Linked DNA regions of Drosophila melanogaster. The protein of the gene in region 1 interacts with the protein of each later gene in a pairwise test. Each region holds a gene or a part of one and is shown on either strand. Other genes may lie near its edges. The genes, in order: raw and CG12194.

Region 1 (3,929 bases):
TAAGCAAATGGTTGGATAACAAAGGCCTACACAGATAATACCAATCGCAAACACAGGGAAGCATTCGGGTTTGTTTGTATGCGTGAATATTTGCTATAAAGTCGAAAGAAAAAAAGTTTATCGCACGCAAACAAAAACGACCTTCGGTAATGATGCCTTTGTATTTACCTAGCCATATTAATGTCGCGTCGGTTTCTTATTGCCAATTTGCCATTTTAAGGTACAAGTATATTTTCGAAAGCATACACGTTAAGATTCCGTTCTTCTCTTCCTGGGTTTTTATGTGCAACTGCTGCTGCATGATTGTAAATATTTTGGGATTTCATTTTATTTTTCCCTGGCACGCTTATTCATTTCCCGCCTGTTTACATTTTAATTGCTCGGTCAGCACTGGCGTTAAAATTTTTAAATCAAGAAGATCACAAAAGCGTTTTCCCTCGCATTCTCAACATTTGTATCTCTCTTTTTTTCGGTCAGCAAAGTACACCGCATATAGAGTGCCCTACAAAATCTGAGTACTAGTTAAATATTTATTCCAGTGAAATAGACTGATAAAAGGCCAAACAATTAATCTTAATACGCAGAAGTACCGTTCAAGATTGTGGAAAATTTCGAAAATTTTATACGGTGCTCTTAAAACATTCTGAAACAAACTGAAACAAGCGACCTAAAACTTATTTTTAAGTGTATTTATGTTTATAAGCCAAAATAAAATCCTACAAGTTTAAAACATTTTTATTGCTTAGATAATTTATTTACCAAAAAGTTATCACGAATGCAAATATACCTGTGCTGCAGTTACTGCTTCTCCGTAATTGCTTTCTGTTTTGTATAACAACAATAATATTTATTTCATAATATTTACTTTATTTTCCAAACAGTGCATTGTTATTTGGCCGGTAATGTTTACTAATTTGCGTGCTGTTGTCATTGCAAAAAATGTACCAACATGTTACATCTTTGTGCACTTTTGTTTCCGGCTTTGTGACAATTGAGTGCATAAACTTAATTACTGTCAAGATGTCACAACAGCAAGGCAATTGGATGATCGAGTGATATACTATTTGTTTTCAGAGATATAAGGAAACACTATGAAGACTCATTTCATGCTTTATGTGTTCGGGAAATAAAGTTCTTGAACATTTCATGTATACAACACTATTAATTATAGTATTCTCAATTATTCTCTTTTGATTTGTACGTTGTTTACTGCTGGCAGTTTTTTTTTTAAATTTCTTTAAAAATTACGTTTTTTTTTTACCATTCACAACTTTGGCCTCCAACTTAGTGTTTACTCCTTTTCTTGAAAAATGAGGCTAAGAAAGCCTGGGAAAATTACCTACACATCAACAAAGTGTAAACAATGATTTTTGTGAAAATAGACCAAGTTTTTTAACTCGCACACAAAAGCACGGAAATTGGCGAAAGAAACGAATTCAACTAACGGACGAAAAAGCTTAGGTCATTGACCAAAAAAAGAAATAACATTGCAAAGAGCGCTAGACTGCTCAGCTCTCTCTTACTATTTCTCTTTATAGTTCGAACACGTTTTCCAAGTAAAAATCCAACGACGCCACTTTTACCTGCGTTTGTGTGTGTGTGTGCATAGGTGAGTGAGCTCCCCACTCACCTATGCACACACACACGCGAGCGGTACAAAACCATTCTGTTATTTTCCTTGTTTACAAAAGCAACAAAACCAAATTGTTGTTATTGCTTTTGTATTGCTACCAAAGAGGCGCGCTTACGTCATTCATAATATTAAAGCGCAAAGAGAGAGTCTAGAACTACAACAACAGCAATAAGAGCACGAAAGCAATCTGGCACATGCTGTTTTTGTTGGGACTGAAATTACCTGAGGAATAATTTAACCATTTTGTGCATTTTGCGCTCTCTTCTCGACTATTTTGTTTAATCAATTCTTTACGGCAGCTCCATTGTTTTCAGACCGCACTCTCATTTGCGTGGAGCCGATTCACTTGGCACGTTTTAGAAAAAAACAAAACATCCTTTGGTTTATTACTCAGCAAGCATTTGGTTCACTGTTGTCACATTTTAAACAATTAGTTTATTGTATTTGCATTAGGAAACTGTTGGGTTCTCTTTAGATTTCTAAATTCGTCTCTGGTGTGACCAGCTGGTGGAACGGCGAAAATACTATCGAGTATTTGGTAACACTAATGCTTGTACAGAATGTTAACATTTGTGAGTGAATTTTGTAAGTTGGTTAACACCACGTAAAAACTGTGAAACTTATTTAATTAATATATATTATATATTAAAGCATGCTGTCTTTGCAGCAGTGCTGATATCTTTTATAAAAAAACAACTTAAGATGAAAAAGAGGTAAAATATATTGTAAGAGTTCACATTTTCGGTACCTGATTGTTTCCATATACACTTGGGTAAATAAGTACAAAATTCATTTGTCGAGAAAAAGTTACATTGGCACCATTGTATAACAGTTCAAAGTTAATGATGTTTGATGCTGCCAATGTAAATTCTTCAGATAACGAGCCTTGCCATCTTAATAGATTAGGAATACAAGCGTTGCCACCAAAATTTTAACGAACGTATACTCAGTTGTATTCGATGGTTGTTGTCTTGGGTGCATGTAAAAATTAGCAGAAGAGCACTTTTTTGTGTTAAAATTAACATTTCAATAACATTGTAAAATTCTGTTAGGTAACAGTATCACAAATTTAAATCTATGTTATATTTGCTCTGATCTAACTTTTGCAAATTATTCAAGATTATTTTAAAATCCTGACATCGTGGGTATATCTGCATTATTATTAATGAAATGTTGTATTAACAAAATACGGAATGTGGAAATTAGAAAATTTTTTCTTTAAGATAATAGAAAAATTAGTAAAATCTTAATGTTCCCTTTTTAAATGAAAAATGTCTTTTCGAATAGTTCTTATTTACTAAATGTATATAATTTTGATTTGGAAGTGCCACTTCCAAGTGATATCAAGAATTAAGTGCTTGTGGCTAGTCATATCTGAGAAAGTGCATGAAGACTTGTAATACTTTGCCGCCTCTGCTGATTTAAGTATATTTTTAAAAGACAATTAAATGATTTGCCTGCAAGTGTTGCAGTAATGAATGGACCCAGAAGTGTTTGCTTCTTAATTGGCAATTTCCTAATGGCGAAATGCGTTTTGCACCTACTTTAAATGCCACCTTGGCGTATTGTTTTGGCTTAATTTAAATTACCTGTTTGAGTAATGAACAGTCTCAGCCACGGGCTGCAACAATAATAACGCGACTCTCAACTCATTATGCATTGTTTATTGCCACTCAAAGTAGCATTTTCACCCTCTTTCCAGCATTTTCCGAGCACTGCAGCATTACTCTTAATGCATGTGCAACAATAGGAAACTCCACTTCCACTTTTCTTCGCCCACCAACTCTTCTTGTGCACTGATATTTGGCTTTTCGCAGAAACAGTCGGAAAAACAGCAGCCTTTTCCTTAACATTTTCTTGTAAATAAATATCTATTAATAAGAAACTTACATAAATCATTTAAAAGGTGTGTATATATAAAACTATAAATTAAGAATTCGCTATTTATAAATAATTATGAATTGAATAAGTAAATCCCTTAAAATCATTTTGCTAGCAAAAATAGCAATTCAGTTATTGAATGGCCCCATTTTCATCTAAACTGGGATTTTCCCGATAGCTTTTCCTCGCAGCAGTAGGATCAGTGCAGTCACCGGATTTATATTGGCACATCCAGGTGTTCCTGGATGGCAAGTCAAGTCTGGCACTTCATTATGCACATTAAGATACAAGTTCTTTTCGCACTGACGAGGTGGTATCTTAACTTAATTTAACCAACTAGGGGCCAGCGGGCGGTCCTCTGAGGGGGCGGGTTTTCCGTGTGTGCCGCTAATGGGCTTAATAAAAAATGCAACAT
Region 2 (3,929 bases), 3.9 Mb from region 1:
AGGTTCGATATGAAGACCACCGGCGAGAAGAGACGCAGGGAGACCTCACTGGGTGGATGTCAAATATTTAGTTATTTATATTTATAGATATAGTACAGAAGAGCTTCTCTAAATCGATACGTGCTGGTCACGAACAAAGGAAAAACGAATTACATTACATTACATGAAGACGTCCAACTAAAATTGCGTGATAGTTTGAACATGAACTACATCACTTTCCAGTTTACATTTTCCAGAAGTTCGATTTAGTGAAGCTGGACTGTGTTACCAAACCAAAAACACTTACGTGGTGTCCACAATGGGTTTTGCCTCATTGCCGCTGAGTATGAACAGGGGAAAAAAGATGGAGAAGATGCAGCTACTGACGATCACCGAGCTGGACAGATTTGTCAGCACGGTGAGCGGTATTCCGAAGCCGAAGAAATAGGGCCAGTTCTTTTCAATGTACGTGAGTCGTCTATGTAGCTCCCAGCCCATGTTGAACCACTTGTACTCGAAGGAGTACAGTGAGTAGAGCAGGCACAGATGCACGAAGCACAGCGAGGAGCCCACATATTTCACAGGCACTAGGTTAACCAGCATGCTCTGTACCAGGAACAGCATTTGCACCACCATGCTGAATAGGAAGTCGGCCACCAGTTTGCTAATTCCAGGGATTAGCTGCGGGCGACCCTTTCTCACGCGATACGCGGCATTGGCTATGTCCGCGAACCACAGAGAGCTCACAATCTTGGAGAGCATGAATATGGGCAGCACCCACATCATGCCGAAGAGCAGGGACAGTATGGGATGCAGCCAGCCCCAAACCACCGGCAGGGTCTCGGAATGGGCTCCATAGAAGATGGTAAGGCAGAATTTGAGCGTGGGCAGCAGAGCGTTCTCGAACAGGACGATGCTCAGCCAGGTGAAACCGCCATTGAGCATGCAGCACTTGAACAGCTTCTTGGCGATCTTCTTCTCCCTGTGTCGCCGGATTAAAAATCAAGTGCGCAGTTTAAAATTACATGTACGTGGAATGAGTCTTTGTGTAACACATACCCCTGCGGGTGTTGATCCTGGGCGGCTGGCTTCTTGCCCAGGATCTTCTCTAGCGTCCGCTCGTCGGCGTTCTCCTCCGCCTGCTTGGCATACTCCTCCCGAATCATGGCAGCCGCGGAACTGGGCACTGGTGACGGTGATCTCCTGGCGCGTTCGTAACGATCCTTGTCGGTGCGACGCAGCTGTTGGCGGTGCTCCTGCTCGGCATTCTGGCGGTTCACCTCGTCGTCGATGTGCAGGACCAGTGTCATGCCACGTATGCTGTCCCACAGGCCGTACAGAATGCCCAGGGTGATGTTCTGTGGTTGTACAACGCATTTAGTTGGGCCATTGTCTGTGTGCTCCAAAAGGGCAGTCGCAAACTCACCTTTATCGCCGCCATCTCGGGTGGACAGACCTTAGTTCCTGATCGGGGGCATTACGAAATGGACATGCAAGCATACGAAACGTGTTTAGCTGCTCGGGAGCGTATCAAAATGTGGCAGTGGGTCTTTGAATAAATTTGCGTTGTGCGAGACGAAGACAACATCGTTGGCGCCTTTACACTGCACAAAATAGCGTGCGCCCGCACATTTGGTTGGCTTTGTACCATTTTGAAACTTTAACTTACATACTTATCGCTGTGCCAGTGCTTGCTGATCGAATAGTGAGTGTGCAGAGGACCTAATAATCATTGAACTTTGTGCTGAATTTAATAATAAAATAGTTGTTTTGCTTGGTGTAGGAACACACGGTTGCCACCTGATGCGCTGCGGTCGTTTTGCAGCACTGGTCAGTGATGCACAGGCGGGCAGTGTTGTTAACTATCGATAGTTATGAATTTTACCGTTATTATAAGACAATAAATTGTTGTGGTTTTCAATGGTGACGAATAAATAGTTTTATTTTTCTGCATCTCATACGAATGTGTTTGGTAATCCATTTGATATTCTTAATAAATCGAAGCAAACTTTTTTAGCAAGTGCTTATGTTTCGCAAATCCGTTAAAACGTAATGATAGTAACGGTTTTTCGTAAGGATATTCCCAAGGTAATCGATATATCGATATCAAGAGCTCAATGCCCACTTCCATTTCTACAGCTACAGGTAGGGAAACCAGGTAATACCGACCATTCTTCTCCCGACAGGGGACAGAAATAAACCGTAAGTCCACGACTTGTTGAACATATAGTAGGCGTGATAGGACTTTCTCATCACAATACATTGTTGATAATCAACATAAATACATCAAGAAATATTAAGTAAAGTTTTCCTGGATCGTAAGCCCGCCACAATCGCAATTCGAAAATATCGAATGTAAATAATGCAAAATAAGACCGTGGACTAGTGATTAATTAGTGTGTGACTTCGTTTGTTGACTGCGATAACGGGGCATTTGCTTGTTAATCCCTTTTTTTTGTTGTTGATATACGGCATTTACATATGCCTATTTATTGACGTGGGTGTGTGTACATATCGAATTTATACCACAGTAGAGCTGCTTTCAATACGCAAATAGCGTAGTAAAGCCTTAAATCAGGTGTCAACTAAATGTTATGCGCATGCAAGCGCTTAATTGATTACCCATTAACCGTTAGTCAGCCAACGGACAACGAGATCTTTCATGTTTACCTAGCAAGCACACACTAACGCACACCCACCCGTGACATATATGTACATACCTGCATCTGCATGTGTATGAGTGTGTGTGTGTGAGAGAGGGCGTAAAATGTTTTGTGTGTGTGGGAATGCAATTTTCAATCTTGGCTTTTTTGCAGATTAACCGAAACACCCCCCATTCCAACCTTTCCAATTTCCATCATCTCTGTGTGCGGGAATAATCAATACTGCACAAATACTGAGGCAACAGCAGCAACAACAACAACACGGAATTATGGTGTGGTCTAGTGATAAGCAGCAACAGTAGGGCCACAGCCCGCCCCCAACCCCCCGCCTACCGCCCACCACCCACCACCGGTCGAGGAACAGGAATTCCGGAAAAGAGGAGCAGCCACAAATAGCAATTACCATCGCACAACTCAAATTTCCCGTCAACCCTCCATCATTCTGTCAACGAAAAGTGGCAATAATGTCACGCGAGGAGCGCAAACCCATCGTTAGCTCGTCGAGCAGCAGCACCTGCAGCAGCAGCGATGACGAAGTGCATCCTGTGGTGCGGCGACGCAGCACTCGGGACACAGAGCTAGCCGGTCACCAGAAGGATGCCGGATGCTGTGATCCGACGAGCACGCCACATCGCTTCCTCGCCCTGCTCTTTATGTGCCTCTTGGGTTTTGGTAAGAACGTGAATTCCTTTGCAACAACACTTGGGACCATACCTACTTAAATAACTCCTTTAATAGGTTCCTATTTTTGCTACGATAATCCCGGCGCACTGCAGGACGTTTTCCAAAAGGAACTGCAACTCAGCTCCACCGAGTTCACGCTGATTTACTCCATCTACTCGTGGCCAAATATTGTGCTCTGCTTTGTGGGCGGCTTCCTCATCGACCGGGTGTTTGGCATCCGCCTGGGCACCATTATCTACATGCTGATCGTGCTCGTTGGCCAGTTGATCTTCGCCACCGGCGGAGTCCTGGGCCACTTTTGGTTGATGATCGTGGGACGCTTTGTTTTCGGCATCGGGGCTGAGTCGCTGGCTGTGGCCCAAAACAGCTATGCGGTGCTATGGTTCAAGGGCAAGGAGATTAACATGGTCTTTGGACTGCAGTTGTCGGTAGCCCGTTTCGGCAGCACCGTCAACTTTTGGATTATGCAACCACTATATGGATACGTTTCGAAATCCTATTCCGGCTACAAGGGTCTGGGCGTGGCCCTGTTCCTGGCCTCCTCAACGTGCGTCATGTCCCTGGTTTGCACCTTGATTCTAGGTAGGATTACTTGTGTATTTA

What was found.
Region 2: the proteins of raw (region 1) and CG12194 interact in a two-hybrid assay, tested with the Drosophila melanogaster proteins (one large-scale study listed by BioGRID).

What each region holds. Positions count from the first base shown.
Region 1 is NT_033779.5:8,738,530-8,742,458, forward strand, and holds the start of raw (raw), read right to left. Parts: upstream 2,132-3,929; 5' UTR 1,885-2,131; coding exon of another isoform or gene 1,856-1,884; intron 1-1,855.
Region 2 is NT_033779.5:4,836,197-4,840,125, forward strand, and holds the start of CG12194 (uncharacterized protein), read left to right. Parts: upstream 1-2,150; 5' UTR 2,151-2,181; intron 2,182-2,265; exon of another isoform or gene 2,266-2,334; intron 2,335-2,795; 5' UTR 2,796-3,106; coding exon 3,107-3,314; intron 3,315-3,380; coding exon 3,381-3,908; intron 3,909-3,929. Other genes in the region: tank, read right to left, coding at 1-48, 287-961, 1,039-1,337, 1,406-1,420.